Nothobranchius furzeri: one gene and its partners. The protein of the gene in region 2 interacts with the protein of the main gene of each other region in a biochemical or structural test. Links are inferred from orthologs where the notes say so. Each region holds a gene or a part of one and is shown on either strand. Other genes may lie near its edges.

Region 1 (7,520 bases), on a different chromosome or scaffold from region 2:
AGCGAGGAGTCGGTCCGAGAGAGACAGAAGGTGGTGGCTCTGGCCAACATGAAGGAGCCCAGCCTGCTGCAGTTTTACATCTCCAGAGAATGGCTGAACAAGTTCAACACCTTCGCCGAGCCAGGCCCCATCAGCAATCACACGTTCCTCTGTCAGCACGGAGGTCTGTCTCAATCACCTCTCTGTGGTCACAACTGCGTCTGGTGTAATTTACACAACACACACAGGAAGTTCACAAGAAGTTCAGTTATGTTTTCAGTCGAGAACTGCCCCACAGGGAAAAACCAAGCGTGTGATGGAGAGCGCTCCAACCGAAGGGAGTCATCATAACCGACCATTTACCTTAGAATAAAGTTTTAAATGTAAAATCCAGCCATAAAAAAGCAGCTTGTGTAGCTTTTAAATGTTTCAGGGTGACACACTTTATAATTATCTTACTGCCATTTACTGAAATGAATAACATTTCTGTAACGTCCTACAAGTAAATTACAATGTTTGATTTTGTAGTTAAGAATAGCTTATTTAAAGACACGGAGCTTTTGAGTTGTTCTACAGGAACCCAGATAAATATTTGCTCTAAACGTTGTTGTTGCTTTGCTCTCCTCGCAGGTATTCCTCCTAATAAGTACCACTATATTGACGATTTAGTTGTGATCGTTCCTCAGAATGTGTGGGAATACCTTTACAACAGGTAAATATTAGCCCAGTGGTGTACTGTCTCACGTCGGTGTTTTCCTCTGTTGCTTTTCTGTTTAGGACTTTTTTGAATCTCAGCAGAAAGAAAGTAGGGATTTTACCACCACCATTAGATTTAGGGTATGGGTGGAAATCATCAATGGTTGTGGAAAAATATCTTTATTTTACCTTTAACTCTACGCAGTTTAAATATTAGTGAATGGACACATTTAAAGAGCAAGTCACCCCCTACCAGAGTATTACTCCACTCCCACTTCCTGTTTGAAAAATGCAACAAATGCTGTTGCCTAGCAGACCGAGAGGACAGAGCCGCTAACAAATACACACACACACAGGCTCACAACGACATTGTGACATCATATGGTACCAGCTAACATTCTAGGGTACCTCTTAGCCAATAGCAATGGCAGATTTTAGTTCAAATGCAGTGCAGAGTTTTTACCTGACAACGGCACAACACTGACAGTTTTAGGAAGAAAATTAAAAATTTAACTAAAATGCACTAAAGTGCAAAACTATTGACTACACGTGTGTGCAGCACGATTAGACACGCATTTATATAGTTTATCCGGAAAAAAAATGGTTGAGTTGGGGGTGACTTGCTCTTTAAATTTGCACTCTGTAGATTGTGACTTATACACCAGTGAGTGTTTCGCTCAAGGGCACTTAGGTACACTGCAGAGGATTGACATGAAAATATCCAATCATTCAGTTAGAAGATGAACTCACTTCTGGGCCTAAATCTGCCCATTTTTACCTAAACATTCAAAAGTGCTGTAAATAATGTTAAATTCTATTAGAAGATTAAAGGTATTAATTGCATCTCTTGATTTAGGCTCTTATTTCCATTCTTTTCTTGGCCTAATCTGTTTAACATGACATCTGAAGCCAATTAAGACTTTCTGAACGTTTTAATTAAATCCATCCAGGGATATTTAGCTTATGAGACTCCAGCAGTTAATGCTAACATTTTCTCTTGTCTGATAATTGCATTAGCATCTGATGGAAGACGCTCGGTTTAGAGAAGTCTAGCAGCTCTACGTCACAGTGTCACTTAACGTTAATGGACTCACCCATCTTGACTCGCAACAGGGAAGGCTGTTGTTAGTTAAGCGTTCAGGAAAATGTAGAGAACGTCTCGGCTAGTAGAAGCTAACTGTTAGCATTAGCAACTCCACCACACAGCAGAACTCCTTCAGGCTTGTGGTGTTTATAGAGATAAAACATCAACCTTGCAAAGTGGCCGGTGGTTGAGTCGCGTTGCTGTTAGTCAATCAGAGGAGAAATGTACAAATATCAGGAAATAAACAGGCCCATTGGAGCTTTATTCCCCCAGAGAACGACTCACAAGTCATTCATTCTTACTACAGACAACTGCAAATGTATTTAAATATAAGTAAAGTTGAGCTAAATTTCACCATTTTCTAATAAACTTTAAAAAAAAACACTTAAGACGTTTCTTTCAGCAACTAATTTTATTTAACTTCAGTTCAAATTCAGAAAAAAACTATTGACCCCAGAGGGAAATTAAATGTGTTTATAACTGATAAAACAATAATAACAACAATAAAATACTACCAACAGACCGGGAGCAGGAGATCGACAGGCGGATTGGTTCAGCGTCTGCAGTGATGCGGACGCTGCCTTGGTCTGCCTGTCGATCTCCTGCTCCCTCCTTCCTAGGGCTGGACAATAAATCGAAAATGTATCGTTATTGAAATTTCTGACTCTTATCGAGATAATTGTTCCCATGTCAATACATTTGATAATAAAAAGAAAGATGTGCGTAGGTTAGCAACGTTCATGTCCCTTTAAGAAGCTGTACCACCTCAAGTCACATAAAAATGTCTCAACGTAATACATGTGACAGCCCCAGCTAGTGCATACCTGTAGTTATCGTCCGTTTATCGTTATTGAGGTGAAATCCTCAAAATATCATGATATTAATTTTAGGCCATATTGCCCAGCCCTACTCCTTCCCTCACTCGTGAACAAGGCCTGAGGAACTTGAACTCCTCCACTTGAGGCAGGACCTCTCTCCCGACCCAGAGTTGGCAAGCCGCCCTTCTCCGAGTCTGAGAACCATGGTCTCAGACTCGGAGGTGCTGGTCCTCATCCCAGCCGCTTCACACTCGCCTGCGAACCTCCCCAGCAACAGCTGTAGGTCAGAGCCTGATGAGGAGGACCACATCATCTGCATAAAGCAGAGATGAGATTCTCCTGCCACCAAACTGGTGGCAAACAACATGTTCTTTAAGTTGTTGTGGGTGTAAATAATTTATCTCGATTATTTGGTTCATGACTGCTTTAATGGTTGTTTATGGTTGTTGTTAAGTGCGTGTGTGTGTTGGTTTGAATGTTTTCAGTTTTGGAGGGGGCCCAGCTGTCAACCACCTGTACATGTGCGCCATCTGTCAGGTGGAGATCGAAGCTCTTGCGAAACGTAGGAAAACCGAAATCGACACCTTCATCAAGGTGAACGCCTGCTCTCCAAAAGGGTTCGGCTTTCTGTGTAAATGCATCTCCAGTGCTTTGTGTGAGAGCTGCTGTTGTTGTTGTAGTTGAACAAAGAGTTCCAGGCTGAGGAGGCGCCGACGGTCATCCTGTGTATCAGCATGCAGTGGTTCAGAGAGTGGGAGGCCTTCGTCAAGGGCAAAGACAACGGTAAAAACACCAGAGTTAGCTTAGAAATCAGGATCTTTATCTGTCTCTGTTTACTAAATGATGTATTTTCCTTTTCTCCCAGAGCCACCAGGTCCTATTGACAACAGTAAAATTGGCGTTATGAAAGGAGGACACTTACAGCTGAAGCAAGGTAAAACACTACTGACAGAGAGGATTAAACGTTCCTAATCTCTCAAGAAGATTCCTCTGGGATTTTCAGCAGGAACTTTTCTCGATAGGAACAGAAGAACAGAACATGGAAAACAAGGGAAAAAAATCATTGAGATTCAATGAATTTTAAAAATATAGTACAAAGGAGAAAATATGCAAATATACCAGATAATATTGCACATCATGTGACCCCCCCCCCCCCCCCCAAATACTGGTAAAAATTACTTTTGTAATTCAAATTCAATTCAAAGATACTTTATTAACCCTCTGGGGTCCATGGACGCGTGTATGCGTCTTTTGAACAGGTCTGATTTGGGACGCTGTAGCAGCAAGACTCCGCCTCCCTGAGTTTCGCTTTCAATTCAGCTTTAAAAAGGAGATTATAAACTACACCCCAGTTTTTAAATTTTGTTAATAGGCAACGTAAAAGTGGAGTTATACTAAGCTAAAAAACGACCTATTTTTAGACAATCTGACTTGTCAAAACAGCAGTTTAGTAATCCGTGAGAGGGAATGTGCTTGTGAACATAAAAAACCCCACAAAAGCTTTATGACACGTCTCTAAATAAAGTAAAGATTTCTAGTGCAGAGAGGAGACAACCCATAGAAGCACTGATTTGATCTCATTTCAGAGAAAAATAGAACAGGTTAGATGCACCTAATAAATAAAATCACTAACAAACTCAGGAATCTGTTTCTTTGCTTCACTGTTCTGGTGCTGAGAATATCACTAATGCGGATAAAAGGAGATACACAGATGAATGCACCTCTTATTTATTGTTTGGAGACTACATTTACTGCAGCTGGCAGAGGCAGAGATTGTTTCTATTGATACGCGGAGTTTACAGAATCATTTTAATCGGGGAAGACTGCAGGAGGGAGCGGTAAAATACAGGGGGTCCCCAGCAAAAACAAGAAACTTTACGAGTCTGATGAAACCCGCTGGTTTTCCATCAGGCAGTCATGGGGCAGCTCCAACGACCCAGTGGCTGTGCTGGGTCAATGTTATCGAGCCCAGTCCGGCTCGGCAGAGGGTGAACGAGCCGAGGCGACGTCGTGCTCTGCTTAAGAAGAAGTGTTATTTTCCCGCTTCAGAAGAAGCGTCCAACGTGTTTTTACGCTTTCTCTGAGACATGTCACGTTGTCTGTACAGGATCTGCTCGGGTGCAAGATTGGCTCGGGGTCCGTCGACTGCCGATGACGTCTAAGTAGTTGATTGGCTGAACATGAACCTTACGGAATTACGTAATCACGTTACGTTGTTATCACGTTACGTTGGTCCAGGCAAATCTTTCTATTGGAAAGATGGACAACTTTTACAAAGAAATCCATCATTACCTCTTTGAAAATACACTTTTAGCATAGAGCTGCATGTATATTAGGGCTGAACGATTAACTGCATGTGCAATTAAATTGCGATGTGACAAAAGGAGATTTTCTAGTCGCAAAGGCTGCAATTTGGCAGCGAGTGGTTAGCGCAATGCTAATATACGTGGAAAAACCCATAGGAATGCTAATGCTAATATCGCCAATTACATTATTACAAATTATGAATTAGAAACATGCCAAATGATTACATTTGGAGTCTAATAGAAAGTAAAAATACCATCAATCAAATAAGTACAGACAGGTATTTTAGTAAAGCCAGAAATCTTTTAACTCCAGAGTTTTGGCTAGCAGCTATGAGTGTAACTGAACTACGCATGAACAAGACGTCAAAACTCTAAACACAAAATACTTCAATAAACGGGACACACTTCTTTCCTGCATATATAATTTCACAGGTGTTGCTAATACCTGTGATCCTTCAAGGGATGTGCTCAAAGAGGAGTTCAACATTATGAATAAAATATAGTGTTTTATTTTACAAATACCATTATAAACACAAACTTACGTCTTAAGAAACATTATTTTAATAACGAAACTGCTAAATTCTTTCCAAGAGTATAGATGTGTAGTGGATTTTGTCCGAGTGGGTTTGCCGTACTTTGACGTCATCGGCAGTCGAAGGACCCCGAGCCGATCTTGCACCCGAGCAGATCCTGTACCGACAACGTCGCTAAGTTGTTAGCGCGCAGCGCTAACACTTCAATAGTGCAGCGTAGCCTGCTGGAGGTTTTAAGGGTTCAGATGAAAACACCCGACCTCTCATGCTGCTCACACATCGATCTTAAGTTGTCGCTGTTGCGCTCACATCGTAATACAGTATTAGATGCGGTTAAAGTCAGACATGAAAAAATAAATAAATTTTACTTGAATAAGTGATGATTAGCCTGGTGGAGGGAGGAAAACCTGGCCTAATAAGCACTGGAGGAAACCCTGTCAAGATTGTCAACACTCGTTTATCTTAATGCTGTTGAAACATGTAAACCAAAAAGCATTATATCCACCGCTACCTTTCTAATTTTAAACTCAGTAACTTATGCTGTAACTTCACCTTGCCCTGCCTGCTCCTCCTTGCTGCCCGCCGGCTGTGATCACAAGCGACAACATAGTAGTTCCCGCTGCTTCTTCGGGAAACAGCGCAAAAAAAATAAAAATAAAACTTGGGATCTTGTAGGCGTGGCGGTGGGATTTCAGCCGTGGCAGACCGTCACAGCCACGCCTATGTAAGGGAAACCCTGCTGCAGTTTAGTAGGCTTTTATTAGGCTTCAATAAAGGATGATGAGAAATGTCCACCAGGCAGTTAAGCTGTTTTTTGAACTGGAAGCAGAGGAAGTGGACAGAGACTCACAGCCGGAGTCTGAGGCAAATAGGGAGGATGTTGATGACGATGTGGCAGATCCATCCTTCCTCATAGAAGAGTTGGGTCATGATGAGGTAGAGGATGAAGGCAGAGATACAGCTCCTCGGACACCCAACAAGAAGAGTGGGTGGCGCCACGTAGTCGTCAGATCTCGATCTCCGCTGCGTGAGACAGAGCCACTCCCCACTCCAAAATGCAAGTACATTATTGTCAAATTAATAAAATAAGTATAAATTCAGATAGTCCAGGTTGTCCTGAAAAAAAAAAAAGATACCCCATAAGGCAATATTTATTGTTTTTATTAGAAAATACAAAAGAAAAACCAAAATGAGTCAAAAATGGTGATTTACACTCCGGACCCCAGAGGGCTAATCATTTTTTTTTAAATTTGTTATTTGCTATATTTATTCATATTTTTTATAAATGTACAGTCTAGATTACCATTCTAAATCATAAAAAAACATTCGTCATAAATGTTTGTTGGTTTCACAGTAAAATAAGCAACTTTTTTCCAATTCGGAGTTTATGTTTTTGAGTGATTTAAGGTCTAATATGCAACCCCTTTATGTCCAAATATAAAAAATAAGTATAAATTTATAAAGTCCAGGTTGTGCTGAAAAGATCGATACCACATAAAGCAGTGGTTATGGTTTTTATTTTGGAAATACAAAGGAAAACTAAATTAGTCAAAAACGGCAAATTACACCCTGGACCCCAGAGGGTTAATCCCAGAGGGAAATTAGAGTTTCAGCACACACAATTCTGAGATCAGACATACATGGGCAAAGACACCTGACAAGAATTGGTGACTGTGGTCATTCGCAATCCGAGTCGCGCTACATGAGGATTGGATCAGGTGGAAGAAAAAAAAGGCACTTCAGAGTTACCCTCCACAGGGAGGGCAGCTTTGCTATGCAAAAACACCTCAGACAGAAATGCAACAGACTTCAGACACTACACAACATAAGTGTCCACTAGGTGGGGTGGTAGGGTTTTGGGACTCTCCACACGTCGTCAGCAGCAGCAGTGATAAGCAGCGCTCTTCACCTCAGTCTGGAAGGGGGTGGGAGGTCGTTGGGTTTACAGAGCACAGTGACTCCTGGAACGATTCAGTGGCCTTCACAGCTCGCAGTCCCGCCCAGGCTGGCATAGGGAGACAGAGTTGCCATGGCAACAGCAGCATTCCACATTTCTTTTGAGGGGGGCTATTCATTTCAGCCTCACAGGCTCAAGGGCACCAGA
Region 2 (8,141 bases):
TGGAGTGAGCATGTTCTCTTCCTACATGTGTGTCGTTAGCATGTTGTCCCTATACACACACATGTGTGGAGTTAGCATGTTGTCCCTATACAACCACATGTGTGGCGTTAGAATTTTTTCTTCCTACATGTATGTCTTTAGCATGTTGTCCCTATACACACACATGTGTGGAGTTAGCATGTTCTCTTCCTACATGTGTGTCATTAGCATGTTGTTCCTATACACACGCATGTGTGTCGTTAGTATGTTGTCCCTCTACACACACATGTGTGGTGTTAGCATGTTGTCCCTATACACATACATGTGTGGAGTGAGCATGTTCTCTTCCTACATGTGTGTCATCAGCATGTTGTCCCTATACACATACATGTGTGGAGTGAGCATGTTCTCTTCCTACTTGTGTGTCGTTAGTATGTTGTCCCTATACACATACATGTGTGTCATTAGTATGTTGTCCCTATACACATACATGTGTGGAGTGAGCATGTTCTCTTCCTACGTGTGTCATTAGCATGTTGTCCCTATACACATACATGTGTCGTTAGTATGTTGTCCCTATACACATACATGTGTGTCGTTAGTATGTTGTCCCTATACACATACATGTGTGTCATTAGCATGTTGTCCATATACACATACATGTGTGTCGTTAGTATGTTGTCCCTATACACATACATGTGTGGAGTGAGCATGTTCTCTTCCTACTTGTGTGTCATTAGCATGTTGCCCCTATACACATACATGTGTCGTTAGTATGTTGTCCCTATACACATACATGTGTGTCGTTAGTATGTTGTCCCTATACACATACATGTGTGTCATTAGTATGTTGTCCATATACACATACATGTGTGGAGTGAGCATGTTTTCTTCCTACATGTGTGGCGTTAGCATGTTGTCCTTATACACACACATGTGTGGAGTGAGCATGTTTTCTTCCTACATGTGTGGCGTTAGCATGTTGTCCTTATACAACCACATGTGTGGCATGTAGAGGTGGGAAAAATGATCGATTCTCAGATGCATCGCATTCAGCCGTGCATGATTCTGCATCAATGCAGCAACATGACATAATGAGATTTTCTCCCTATGTCTATGTCTATGTCTATGTCTATGCAGGACAATAAAGTTTTGAGGTTTTACAATTACTTCTGGGGGCAGAGTTGCAATGACATGCGCACTGCGTTGCCCTAGCGCCAGTTTAAAACAGAAAAGGCGGACAGGGACACAGGGCCAACATTACCAGTAATCAAATATGTACCCGTTACATTTAAATCGGATGTCTGGGCTAATTTCTGTTTTGGGATCCTGGATGTGAAAGAATCACTTAACACAGTATTTGTTTACTATTTTTAAGTTCAGTAATATTCTATCTTAAAGCTGCTCTACCGAAAACATTATTTCTTATATTATTTAAGTAATTATAGGCAGCACACTTTAAACATTATTGCTCACTATAGTGAATAGATGAATGTTCTGTTTTTCAGGGATTTCAAAATCAAAAAGAAATTGAAAACTATTCTACTGCTTTTACTAAGTAATGAAAACTTTTGTGTGAAGAATCGTGATTCATTTCAGACTCAAATCGAATCGTTAGGCAGATAATCGGAATCGGATCGAATCGTGAGGCAGGTAGAGATGCACACCACTAGTGGCAAGGCAGCTTTATTTATATAACACATTTCAAACACAGGGGCGTTACCATTAGCATGAAATGGCATGATAACAAACAGGTGGTGTTAGCATGTTGTCAGCATGACATGATCACACCGCCCATCCCTGCCGTGTGATTTCTGTCCAGTCCTCATGGCTGATGATGTGTTAACTCGGCCCCAAACACAAGAGAACGAACAACTGAAGGTCAAAAGGGAAAATGTGAAGCCTCTAACATCAACAGCAAGGGGGGAGAAGCTTCATCCTTTAGGTAGGTTTTCTTATTTGAGTTGTCACACTGAGCTCTATTTGGTGTTTTATTGGATTCAATTAAAGATCCTGAACACCCTGAAGTTAAGGAGCCTACCTTGGTCTGAGTCAGAGACTGGGATGGCATGGATTCTGGAAAAACAAGAGAATCTAAAATGCAGACAAAAACAGCATTATGACAAGACCACAAGGGCACTTAGACTGCTTACAAAGGATGATGTGGTGAGAGGCCAAGATCAAAATGCATGGAGCAGAAACGCCATTGTTCCTCAGTAAGCTGACCCAAGATCATATGAAGTAAGACCTGAAGGTCGTAAACTCAGAAGGTACCGTCATAATCTGCTGAAGAGCAAAGACGCCTTTTAGGAGGAACAATGTGGTGAGAAGGCAAGCTGTTGTGGCTCAAGCAGAGATGGTGCCTGCCATAGGAGGACATGAAAAGCAGAGGAAAGTGATGTCTCTCCAGGACCTGTGTTGAGGAGGTCAGCGTACCACCAGAAACCAGTCGGGGTTCATCTATTGTCGTATTTCTATGTTGAGCGTACTGCAGAGAGAGGGGTGAGATTCTTCTAACGCACGGTCGTGCACTCGAGCCTGCGCACGTGCCCAAGTGCACTTACAGAAGACCCGGAGACCGCAGATTCAGGCTTGTACTGTTTTGAGACAGCGACCTCTAAAGGATCAACGTGTAACTGCAACTGCAGATTCAAGCTTAACCGTTATTTATAAATAATATGTAATTGTCGGTGAAGCTTATTAAAATAGTTTATTCGTTGTTAACGCTTCAGTGAAGTAGTTCTCAGAATACAAATTTGAAAATTCCTGAGTAAATTTTAATAATAAAAGCTTTTATCATATTTATTTAATTGAAGTTGTTTGTAGAAACAAAAATAAAAAACTTTCCGATCGTACTCCATCTTGGAACGCTAGCTAACAGTGGGCGGCGCTGTCTCAAAAACAGTACAAGCCTGAATCCTGTGGGGCGCAGCAAACTTAGCCGCCCGCCTGCGCAGCGCTGGTGGATGTTTTAATTCCTCCACTAACTGTGTCGTCACACTGGGCGGATACCTCCGTCACAGATGGTCCAATAGCAGGGCGAGAAGCGCTGGACTGACAGCTCGCTGGTGAAAGACCGCGGGCCAGCTGTCACGGCGCGCGAAAGTGTAAACTTTGTGTTCGGTGAGCGGGTGAGGCGGGAGGAAGCGGAGCTGTCCGGTAAAACGCGGCCTAGCTGTTCGGTAAGGAGCTGCAGTAGAGTTCTTTTCACGGACACGTTGTTCTCGGTGTCGGTAGCGGCTGTAGCCGTTAGAGGAGCGGACGGAGCCTCGTCCCTGCCGGGAGCGGGCGGACCAACCGGAGCACAAAGATGAGCCTTGTCCTGTCTCACCTGCAGGTAAAGACGCTAGCAGGCGGCGTCAGTGGAAGGTGTACAGACAGGTACATGTGAGACAGGTGTGTGTTCAGCGTGCTGGAGGGAAACGTCACCAACAAGGTGCTAAGGTGCTGTTAGCCGCTTAGCTGCTAACACCGAGGAATCGGTTCTTCCGTTCACCTCGTTCTAATTCGGTAGAGCTCCGTTAAAAAGTCACATCAAACAGTCCGAAGGTCCGGTAGCCGTTACCGGACAGCTGGGCGTTCGGTCCGACACGGTTATCCAGCTGTGACGTTGATTCATTGTTTTACTGACCGAAGGCGCCATGAATCCGGCTAGCAGCTGGTCTGGGATCAGCTAGTCCGCCTTGACCCAGACCGTGTTTCTGATCAGGACTGGTCCCAGACCAGTGTCTCTCTGTGGCCCGGAAACCAGTCCGAACCAGGTCAAACGGCTCTGGTGTGAGAGGTGGAACAGCTACGGGTTCTAGACCCGGTTCTCACACACACACACACACACGCACACACACACACACACACACACACACACACACACACACACACACACACACACACACACACACACACACACAGGCTCTGAAGTCTGTCTCTCTTCAGACTGAGGCGTTGGCCCGAGCAGCACCACAGAGCCACTGGGACAGCGGGATGGGTCCTCCTGCAGAGGAGGAGGTCCCAGAGACGTCTGATAGAGGAGATGAGTGTCCAGGTGAGACAGACCTGCTGCAGGACGCTCGTGGACAATCAGGAGAAACCGTGGTCCCCTAAATCAGTTTTTCTCTCAGATTCAGATGATGACATCACAGTTCACAGGAAGCCTCGGCGTAACGCCATCAGAGACAGTGACAGTGAGGAAGAGGAGGCACCAAGACGCCTGGAGCTGTCTGAAGAAGCGGTACCTGCCTCTAGTGAGGACGAAGAGAGGAGGAATAAAGGAGGACAGAGGAGCAACAGAAAGGCTCGTGCATCTGATGGTAGCGATGGAGAGCACGAGGAAGAGGAGGAGAATAAAAGAGAGAAGAGTCAAAGGCATCGAAAGAAGAAAGAAAAACGCAGCAAAGTGGTGGAAAGCCTGAAAAGGAGAAGGAGGTCTGGTGGAGGAGAGGAGGTGAGTTCCGTCTGAAATTTTCATCCAAATAAATCCAGAAATCTTAAAAATAAACTGGTCACCTTTTGCTCTTTCCATCAGGACGTTCCTCTTCCTCCAGCGCTGAACGACAGCGGCTGTCCTCTGGGTGATCCAGAGCTGTTTAGCACCGGTCTGGAGGAGGAGGAGGAGGAGGAGTCTCTGGACGCCATCAGAGCTGCGGTCAGACAGAAAGTGAAGAAACACAAAGTAAGAACAAGATGTTTACGTCACTCTGACCCTAACTCCGCTCGTGTTCTGGATGAGAAGAGTCCGGACGTGTTTCAGGAGGAAGTTTTGACTAAACTTGTTAAATGTGACTGTAGGACCCCCTCCTGGAGGAAGAGGAGGAGGATGAAGAGGTCCCAGAGAAGCCCCAGCGAGCGGTAGGATACAGCACCACGTTAGACCAGGTAGACGACTCGGACTGAAGGTAGAATAAACTGATTGTCTCTGGGGGCTCCAGGAACGGAAAGCAGCTCGAGCCAGCAAGGAGGCGATGAAGCAGCTTCACAGTGAGAGCCAGAGGCTGGTCCGAGGTCAGTTCCCCTGGCTCTGCTCTGCTTTAGCTGCAGGGGTTTGATCTGCAACACGCTAAACGTTTCTCTGCGTCTGTAGAGTCGACGCTTGGGTTGCCATACCACATCCCTGAACCCAAAACCATCGAGCAGTTCTTCAAGAGGAGGACCCGGCCGGAGGGATCGGCCATGGCGCTGCTGAAGTAAACAGTAACAACTAGTAGCCCTGCGTTGGCGCGGCCCTGGGTTGGGTCGACGCGGCCCTGGGTTGGGTTGGGTCGACTCGGCCCTGGGTTGGGTTGGGTTGACGCGGCCCTGGGTTGGGTTGGGTTGACGCGGCCCTGGGTTGGGTTGGGTCGACGCGGCCCTGGGTTGGGTTGGGTCGACGCGGCCCTGGGTTGGGTCGACGCGGCCCTGGGTTGGGTTGGGTCGACGCGGCCCTGGGTTGGGTCGACGCGGCCCTGGGTTGGGTTGGGTCGACGCGGCCCTGGGTTGGGTTGGGTCGACGCGGCCCTGGGTTGGGTCGACGCGGCCCTGGGTTGGGTCGACGCGGCCCTGGGTTGGGTTGGGTCGACGCGGCCCTGGGTTGGGTCGACGCGGCCCTGGGTTGGGTCGACGCGGCCCTGGGTTGGGTCGACGCGGCCCTGGGTTGGGTTGGGTCGACACGGCCCTGGGTTGAGTCGATGCGGCCCTGGGTTGGGTCGACGCGGCCCTGGGTTGGGTTGGGTCGACGCGGCCCTGGGTTGGGTTGGGTCGACGCGGCCCTGGGTTGGGTTGGGTCGACGCGGCCCTGGGTTGGGTTGACGCGGCCCTGGGTTGGGTTGACGCGGCCCTGGGTTGGGTTGGGTCGACGCGGCCCTGGGTTGGGTTGGGTCGACGCGGCCCTGGGTTGGGTTGGGTCGACGCGGCCCTGGGTTGGGTCGACGCGGCCCTGGGTTGGGTTGACGCGGCCCTGGGTTGTGTTGGGTCAACGCGGCCCTGGGTTGGGTTGGGTCGACGCGGCCCTGGGTTGGGTCGACGTGGCCCTGGGTTGGGTTGGGTCGACGCGGCCCTGGGTTGGGTCGACGCGGCCCTGGGTTGGGTCGACGCGGCCCTGGGTTGGGTTGGGTCGACGCGGCCCTGGGTTGGGTTGGGTCGACGCGGCCCTGGGTTGGGTTGGGTCGACGCGGCCCTGGGTTGGGTTGGGTCGACGCGGCCCTGGGTTGGGTTGGGTCGACGCGGCCCTGGGTTGGGTTGGGTTGGGTCGACGCGGCCCTGGGTTGGGTTGGGTCGACGCGGCCCTGGGTTGGGTTGGGTCGACGCGGCCCTGGGTTGGGTCGACGCGGCCCTGGGTTGGGTTGGGTTGACGCGGCCCTGGGTTGGGTTGGGTCGACGCGGCCCTGGGTTGGGTTGGGTCGACGCGGCACTGGGTTGGGTCGACGCGGCCCTGGGTTGGGTTGGGTCGACGCGGCCCTCGGTTGGGTTGGGTCGACGCGGCCCTGGGTTGGGTTGACGCGGCCCTGGGTTGGGTTGACGCGGCCCTGGGTTGGGTTGGGTCGACGCGGCCCTGGGTTGGGTTGGGTCGACGCGGCCCTGGGTTGGGTCGACGCGGCCCTGGGTTGGGTTGGGTCGACGCGGCCCTGGGTTGGGTCGACGCGGCCCTGGGTTGGGTCGACGCGGCCCTGGGTTGGGTTGGGTCGACACGGCCCTGGGTTGGGTCGATGCGGCCCTGGGTTGGGTCGACGCGGCCCTGGGTTGGGTTGGGTCGACGCGGCCCTGGGTTGGGTTGGGTCGACGCGGCCCTGGGTTGGGTTGACGCGGCCCTGGGTTGGGTCGATGCGGCCCTGGGTTGGGTCGACGCGGCCCTGGGTTGGGTTGGGTCGACACGGCCCTGGGTTGGGTCGATGCGGCCCTGGGTTGGGTCGACGCGGCCCTGGGTTGGGTTGGGTCGACGCGGCCCTGGGTTGGGTTGGGTCGACGCGGCCCTGGGTTGGGTTGACGCGGCCCTGGGTTGGGTTGACGCGGCCCTGGGTTGGGTTGACGCGGCCCTGGGTTGGGTTGGGTCGACGCGGCCCTGGGTTGGGTCGACGCGGCCCTGGGTTGGGTTGACGCGGCCCTGGGTTGTGTTGGGTCGACGCGGCCCTGGGTTGGGTTGGGTCGACGCGGCCCTGGGTTGGGTCGACGCGGCCCTGGGTTGGGTCGACGTGGCCCTGGGTTGGGTTGGGTCGACGCGGCCCTGGGTTGGGTCGACGCAGCCCTGGGTTGGGTCGACGCGGCCCTGGGTTGGGTCGACGCGGCCCTGGGTTGGGTTGGGTCGACGCGGCCCTGGGTTGGGTTGGGTCGACGCGGCCCTGGGTTGGGTTGGGTCGACGCGGCCCTGGGTTGGGTCGACGCGGCCCTGGGTTGGGTTGGGTCGACGCGGCCCTGGGTTGGGTTGGGTCGACGCGGCCCTGGGTTGGGTTGGGTCGACGCGGCCCTGGGTTGGGTTGGGTCGACGCGGCCCTGGGTTGGGTCGACGCGGCCCTGGGTTGGCGGTGTGTGTAAGTTGTTCTCTGCATCTGACCCATCCCCTGGGGAGCGGTGAGCTGCACTCAGGAAGGTTGCGCGACTCGGTTGCGAATGACCACAATCACCAGTTCTTCTGATCTCAGAACTGTGTGTACTAAACTCTAATCTCCCGCTGGGATTAATAAAGTATCTCTGTATTGAAACCACCCCCCCCCCCCCAGTCCAACCCCTCAATGCTGAGCGTCGGGCAGGGAGGCGTTGGGTCCCAGTCTTTGGTGTGACCCCTCTGGGATTTGAACCCCTGTCTCCCAGTCCCAGGTCAGACGCACAAGGCCACTGAGCTGGTACCAAAAGCAGGCTAAAGCAACAGAAAAAGATGTTGCGACACTAGAGCCGCTCCAGCCCTCTGAAACGAGCTCTGACAACCACGTTGTTGCAGGCGTGAGAGACTTTTAGATGAGTTGGTCTCCTAGATGCGTCAAGAGGGTTCTGACCGGATTGGACCTGGGAGTGGTTCATGCACACGCGTGCAGCAGATGGTTTCTGAGGTCATAATGTTACGACTCATGTTTCATTGTGGGACATCTTTCCTTCTAGGTCCACAAAGTACTCAGAAGTGATGTTGGAGACACCAGCTCCTCCTGGTGTGTCCTCCAGCCAGAGCCAGCCCTTACCTCAGCCTGCAGCCGCCTCCTCCC
Region 3 (6,862 bases), on a different chromosome or scaffold from region 2:
TGTGTGTGTGTGCTCTGTCTTCTCCGTCCCCAGTGAGTCGTGGAGGATGGCTGCTTATATTGAGCCAGGATTCTCTGGAGGTTTCTTCCTGTTAAAAGGGAGTTTTCCTCTCCACTGTCGCTACATGCTTGCCTAGTATGAGGATTGCTGTATAGTCACTGACACTAGTCAGTGACTTGATGTGACCTGCTGGGTTCCTTATATAGGAAACTTGTTACTGATTGGCTTAATGACCTGACCTGTATGTTTACCGTGTGCAGGTCCTTGAGACGACTCTTGTCGTGATTTGGCGCTTTATAAACAAACTTGAACTGAATTGAATCCTCCATTTATTCGCGGGGAGTTTGTGTTCAGTACTCGTGCAATATCCGATGAACATTAGTATCTGTGTGTCCCTGAAGCGGTGTAGTTCTGGAAACCCAAGTTTCCGTTGCACTCACTGTTTTTAGTGGTTGAAGGTTACCATAACGTGTGTTTACCTGTAATCTTGTTACTTTTCTTCCTCTTCTCTAAGTGCTGCAGCAGCAAGTGAATTCCCTACCGTGGGATCGATAAACCACTCTATTCTAGAAAGTGATCATTTGTTGTTCCTGCAGAGGCAGAGAGAACGTTATGGGTGTGACCTACTGCTTCAGGAGAGAGGACCATGTGGTGATCGTAATGCCTTACATGGAGCACCAAGCCATTGTGGTATGTAAGCAGTCACCTTCCACCTTCTTCCTAACCTTTATTTGTTCCCTGCAACTAGAATCTGAGTTTCTGTTGCTGTTCCTCTGATTTCATCCCAAACCTTTCCCAGGATGTCATTGGGTCCATGAGGTTTGAGGAGGTCCATCTGTACATCTACCACCTGCTGAAGGCCCTGAAACACATCCACCAGTTTGGGATCATCCATCGGGACATCAAACCCAACAATTTCCTCTACAACAGGAAGAGTAAAACGTGTGTCTTCCTCTGGAGGACTTCCTGGTTTCATCCTGATGATTAGAGTAAAAGTCGTGTTCATCCAGTTAAATGATCTTTGTCCCGGCGTGTTTCAGCATTACCTGAGTCTGAGTCACTCTACGGATCCTATAGAGCATCTGGAGAATACAGCGGTGGATGCTCTGTAACGGTGGTTTTCTCCTGTACCTGTGCAGGTACGCCCTGGTGGACTTCGGCCTGGCTCAGGGGACCGCCGACACCCAGATCCAGCTGCTGAAGGCGGTGAGACAGAAAGGTGGACAGGAAGCTGCTCGGCGGAGCAAAGCTCCACCTAAACTCCCTCCTAAAACTTCACTCCCTCTGGCCGTGACACCTCCTGTTCCTCCTCCCTCCTCCTCCCCCTCCACCTCCTCCACCTCAGCCCCGGGGAAGTCTCTGGTTAAAAAAGCTCGTTCTGCCTCCTCCTGCTCACGAACAAAACACACAAAGGTGTCTTGCTGATGTTTGTCTGCCTTCTCACTCGTCTCTAGTGTGGAGCAGAAGGCTCACTGTGACTGGGTGGCTGTTTTCTGGCTTTTCTTGTTAAATGCAGGATTTGGCAGGACTCTGTAAAGCTCCACGACCCGTGTTCGGAGAAAGGAATCTGAACAGCCGCATGCTTGTCCCGTCCACCACGAAGCAAACTGCTCATGATGAAGAGGTGAGGAAGCCCTCAGGAGGATCCCACCCAGCTGTCTCTTTCCAGTGTTTCTTATCCGAGGGCGCCATCTAGTGGCTGACGAGCATATCACACAAATAGTTTCTCCTGTTTTTCTAAGATGGCAACTTCATGTTTCTAGTTGATAAATTTGCTTCTGCACTAACAAACAACACACATTTATCCCTTATCTCAAGCTGGTCAAGCCTCAGAGGACTGAGGGTGCGCCGCACCGGGCCGTACTTCCTGTCAAAGCCCAGAGCAGCAGTCAGAAAGCCCCCAGGAGCTTACAGCAGGGCCTCACCTGTAACTGCTACCTGACCGACCGCGTCTGCAACATCTGCATGGCCAGGTGACATAAACCATTTCACACTTTCATCCCGTCATCATAAAGAAAGAACATTCCCATCACTCATTCGTGCTTTTGTGTCCGTGTTCCTGTTTGTGACTGAAGGAAGCAGCAGGTAGCTCCCAGAGCAGGAACTCCAGGGTTCAGAGCTCCAGAGGTCCTCACCAAGTGTCCCAACCAAGGCACAGGTCAGCAGCTCCAGCCTTCTCCTGTAGCTCTGCTGCTGAGGCTACTGGGATGTTAGAAAGTCCAGTAACACCAGTACGTGTCCCAACTGTTCCCTCTCCCCTGCAGCCATCGACATGTGGTCTGCCGGTGTGATCCTGCTCTCCCTCCTCAGTGGGCGGTACCCATTCTTTAAGGCCAGTGACGACCTTCTCGCTCTGACACAGATCATGACTATAAGAGGCTCCAGAGAGACCATCCGCGCTGCTAAAACGTTCGGTATGAACGTGTTTTGCTTCTTAAAAAGACTCGTCATTTTCGTCAGAGGTATACCTAAAACTACGAGCGACAAAGTGAGGAAAACAAATCTAGAAAATCACATTTTCTGATGTTTAAAGAATTCTTTTGCTAATTATGGTGGAAATTAAGTATTTGGTCTCCTATAAACAAGCAGCATATGTGGCTCTCACAGACCTGCATTAACGAGCCCATGTTGGAACTCATCATCACTATAAAAGACACCTGTCCACAACCCAACAGTCGCACTGTCCAAGAACAAAGAGCCGACACCAGAAACCAGGCTGTAGAGCTGCACCTGGCTGGGAGGACTGGATCTGCAGCAGCTAAGCAGCTTGATGTGAACAAATCCATCGTGGGAGCGACTGTCAGAAAGTGGAAGATGTGCACGCGCACCTGTGTGACGTTTGCTAGAGAGCATTTGGACGACCCAGAAGAGGACTGGGAGAATATCGTCGTCAGGTGAAACCAAAACGGAACATTTTGGTAAAACTTGTTTACTCGTTGCGTTTGGAGGAGAAAGAATGCTGAGTTTCATCTAAAGAACACCATACCTACTGTAAAGCATGGGGGTGGAAGCATCATGCTTTAGAGCTGTTTTTTCTGCAGAGGCACCAGGATGACTGGTCTGTGTAAGGGGAAGAATGAATGGGGCTATGTATCGTCAGGTTTTGAGTGAAAGCCTTCCATCAGCAACGGCACTGAAGATGAAACATGGTTGGGTCTTCCGGCGTGACGATGATCCCAAACCCGAGCCGTATGTGCCGCACGTAGCACCACCTATTTCTCTCAAAGAAGCCAAGGCCTTCCCCAGAGCTAGCTGCTAATGCTAGCTCTGACGCTCAGCTGCATGTCAATCAAATCTAATTATTCATCATTAAAGCGTTAATTACACCTAAATAGAAGAGTTACAAAATAATTCAGAGTTGTCGTGACTAAACTCGATCTCCACTCGTCTATTTTCGGCCGCTTATCCGGGATCAGGTCATGGGGGCAGTAGCCTGAGCAGGGAGGCCCACTTTCCTCTCCCCAGCCACTTGGACCAGCTCCTCCGGGGAGTCCCAAGGGTAGGAACGCAGATCCACCGGTAAATCCAGAGCTTTGCCTTCTGGTTCAGCTCTCTCTTCACCACGACAGACCGGTGGAACGCCCGCATCACTGCAGACGCAGCACCAATCCACCCGTCGATCTCACGCTCCAGCTTTCCCTCACTCGTGAACAAGCTGGCTAAACTAGATCTATTAATCCTGAAATGGTTTTTAATCCGTCCCGTAAACGTGTTTATTTCTCTTTGAACTTGGCATTTTTAAAGTGACAACGTGTTGTTTTACCTTTAATCTCCATCGAAATGTTGTTGAAGATGAATAAAAAGATGTCTGGTGGCTTCATAACATATAAGCATAAAAATGAAGTTTAAAGTACATACCGTGTGGGTCTAGCGTCTTTAAGGGACGCCATATTTCCTTCTGGCCGGCTCGGGGTCGAGTACTTGTCGATGGCGTCACATTAGGTGATTGCAGGATGTACGACTTACGGAAGTTACGTTACACGTTCAAAAACACTTAGATATGAAAAACATGGATTCAATAACAAAACAGCTAAGCTCTTTCCAAAGCCTATGTGAAAGAACAGAATCAAAGGAGAGGAAATATATTTTGACTGACCGGTATTGCCGTAGTTTGACGCCGCTACCGGCAGGCGCAGGACCCCGAGCAGATCGAGAAACTACAGGGCCCAGTGGAACTAACCAAAGTCTGAGTTACGCCGAGGTTGCGTTCTTTCTGCTCCGCAGGTAACATTTACCGTACCTAGCAACAGTCACGGCGATTGGGCGTAAAGCTACCCTGAAATGTATGAATTGCCTCCTATCGCCAGGAGATTGCACGCTGCCACTTTAACATGGGAGTCGGTGAGGGTTTCCCTTAGCCTGGCAGGCCAGACTAAATAAATGTATTATGTAGTCTGGCCACGCTCCACTGACGGCTCTCGGTTGTGGGGCGGGTTCTACTGTTGTCTTTCAAATGATCTCTGCATGCCACTGGACAATGATTGTGACATACTCACCGCAACAGCTATCGGTAAATGAGGCGGTCCGCAGTTGAAGAAGGGGAAAACACATCATTTTTTCTAAAAAAGCTCTTAAATACATCTATCTGCTCCTGATTCTGATGAAGCCAGAGTTCTAATAGTCCAACATGGATGTAAAAGCCGTTTCAAACGAGCTGTCGCCATCTTGTTTCCCTCTGTTGCATCATCCCACCCACCAGGCATATAGAGTGCCCTGATTGGCCCACAAAGCAGATAAAGCTCTGTCATTTGTTCACTAAGCAGATAGAGCACTATGATTGGCCCACCATTATGGACCAATCACAGCTCTTTGTGTTTGAAACCCCTCTAGAGAGCTGTGATTGGCCAGCCAGAATGCTGTTGGGGCTGCAGAGGTTCCAGTGGAGCGTTCCTAGACCAGTTTGGTCTAGTTCGCTAGGCTAAGTTTGCCCTGCTTTAGATCCAGCCCCTTGTGGATGAGTGTGGAACTGCAACTTTGTCACTTCTGTGTTGGCTTCATAGATTAAAATAAGCGATTTCCCGTTGTTCCGAACACACCGCTCGAGTAACGAAGCGGTGGCGTAAGCATTTCAGGGTCCTGGAGTGGCCTAGCCAGTCTCCAGATCTCAGCTCCACAGGAAATCTTTACTGGGAGTTGGGCCCAGCGACAGACCCAAACATCACTGCTCTAGAGGAGATCTGCATGGAGGAATGGGCCAAAATACCAGCAACAGTGTGTGGAGACTCAGAGAACGTTTAACCCATGTCATCGCCAACAAAGGGTGTACAACGGCGTACTGAAATGGACTTTTGTTCCTCACCAAATACTTTTTTCCAACATAATTTGCAAATAATTTCTTTAAAATCAGACGATGTTATTTCCTGGATGCTTTTTCTCATGTTGTCTCTCATAGTTGAGGTATAGCCATGATGAAAGTTCATCTTCATCAGAGGGAGAACGCGTAGCTGGAGGCTTTGCCCCACTGTAGTCTCTGAATACAAACCTAGCATGGTGTTGTTGGGGTTCAGGATCCAGATCCATGTTGGAACTTGTTGTTTCAGGGAAGGCGGTGGTGTGCAGTCGGGAGCTTCCTCGTCAGGACCTCAGAGCCCTGTGTGAGATGCTTAGAGGCAGGAGGTCAACGCTAGAGGGTGATGATGATGATGTCACCCCAGCTGCAGAGGTCAACGTGGGTCAGAGTTGGCGTCAGACTGGAGATGGGACTCCTGCCTCTCAAGCCGCTGACCGGACACGCAAAGATGGATCAGGAGAACAATCAACCTGCAGTAAAACAGCTGGTCCCACAACACGGCCCAGCGACGAGGAAGGAGACCAGCGGGGCTGGGACAACGTTCCTGATGAGGCCTACGACCTCCTGGATCAGCTGCTGGACCTGAACCCTTCAACCAGAATCACAGCCGCTGCTGCGCTGCAGCACCCGCTTTTCAAGGACCTGTGAGACCAGAACGAGCTCCAGGAGCTGCTCCGTAACCTCGTTCACCATGAACTTCCTTCAGTCCTTCACAATACGCCTCAAACACATCAGACGTGTGAAGCCGATCATTTAGTTTACTATAACGGTCGTTCCCCGGCGAAAGTCCTGGTGCCGTCTAGAGATTTGGGATTGAGAGGAATCACAAATGAAGCCGTCATGCCTGGGCGAGTGGTGACCTTTTGGTTCAGACCTCCTCTGGGAAGGACTTCGGACTTCCTGGACGTTCAGGCTGCAGCAGAAGTTTGACCAGAATAAACTAAAAGCTTCTGATGCTTTTAGGTATGTGAGACCGTTTTAGACTCTTATTGTGAAGGATTGGAGGAAGTTCTTTAATGTCCTGATGAAGAAGTCAGTTCTGGGTGTGTTTTACTGAGCGGGCCACACCAGAACCAGTCAGCTAACGAAAGGCTCAGTGGCCCGGACAGACCAGCGCAGAGGTCTACGTGAAGTAGCTCCTTGATGTCTGAAAGCAGGAAGTTACTCAACAGCTGATGGACGAGGTTCTAAAGGTGTGAAAGGACTTTTATTTTGAAGGGGGACTGAGTTTTAACAGTGAGAACCGGATGAAATGTCCACGTTGTGTAAAAGACCACATCAGAATGTTTGTTTGGTGGTAATAAAGTTGTGATTTGAGTCAGATGTTTATTTTATATCACAGGAGGCAACATTTCTCATCATAAACCTGAAAAGTACGCAGCGCCACAAGCTGCAGGTCCTCTGGTGGTCTACACGCCGTCCTTCACCTCGGTGAGCTCCTCGACGCGCACCAACACACTCTCAATCATGTCGAAGGTGTGGAGGGCAGAGTGCAGCGCCTGAAAGAAGCCGTTTTCACTAACATCACCGTGACTGCTCGTGTCTGAGGAGGAAAACACCGACCTGAATCTG

What was found. The genes of interacting proteins can lie anywhere in the genome.
Region 1: of the proteins of claspin (region 2) and usp20, one has a biochemical effect on the other in vitro, tested with the Homo sapiens proteins (2 studies listed by BioGRID, with this or other methods). The link is inferred for Nothobranchius furzeri from reciprocal best matches to the Homo sapiens genes CLSPN and USP20.
Region 3: of the proteins of claspin (region 2) and cdc7, one has a biochemical effect on the other in vitro, tested with the Homo sapiens proteins (3 studies listed by BioGRID, with this or other methods). The link is inferred for Nothobranchius furzeri from reciprocal best matches to the Homo sapiens genes CLSPN and CDC7.

Annotation. Positions count from the first base shown.
Region 1 is NC_091746.1:62,087,363-62,094,882, reverse strand, and holds part of usp20 (ubiquitin carboxyl-terminal hydrolase 20), read left to right. Parts: coding exon 1-163; intron 164-609; coding exon 610-691; intron 692-3,062; coding exon 3,063-3,171; intron 3,172-3,257; coding exon 3,258-3,360; intron 3,361-3,442; coding exon 3,443-3,511; intron 3,512-7,520.
Region 2 is NC_091759.1:26,751,964-26,760,104, forward strand, and holds the start of claspin, read left to right. Parts: upstream 1-3,154; 5' UTR 3,155-3,289; coding exon 3,290-3,316; intron 3,317-3,912; coding exon 3,913-4,021; intron 4,022-4,097; coding exon 4,098-4,420; intron 4,421-4,501; coding exon 4,502-4,648; intron 4,649-4,764; coding exon 4,765-4,824; intron 4,825-4,904; coding exon 4,905-4,977; intron 4,978-5,056; coding exon 5,057-5,159; intron 5,160-8,040; coding exon 8,041-8,141.
Region 3 is NC_091751.1:71,608,861-71,615,722, forward strand, and holds the end of cdc7 (cell division cycle 7-related protein kinase), read left to right. Parts: intron 1-596; coding exon 597-690; intron 691-799; coding exon 800-942; intron 943-1,139; coding exon 1,140-1,413; intron 1,414-1,516; coding exon 1,517-1,624; intron 1,625-1,818; coding exon 1,819-1,973; intron 1,974-2,075; coding exon 2,076-2,158; intron 2,159-2,264; coding exon 2,265-2,414; intron 2,415-5,540; coding exon 5,541-5,938; 3' UTR 5,939-6,607; downstream 6,608-6,862. Other genes in the region: glmna (glomulin, FKBP associated protein a), read right to left, coding at 6,700-6,789, 6,854-6,862. UniProt on the Homo sapiens protein: Kinase involved in initiation of DNA replication. Phosphorylates critical substrates that regulate the G1/S phase transition and initiation of DNA replication, such as MCM proteins and CLASPIN.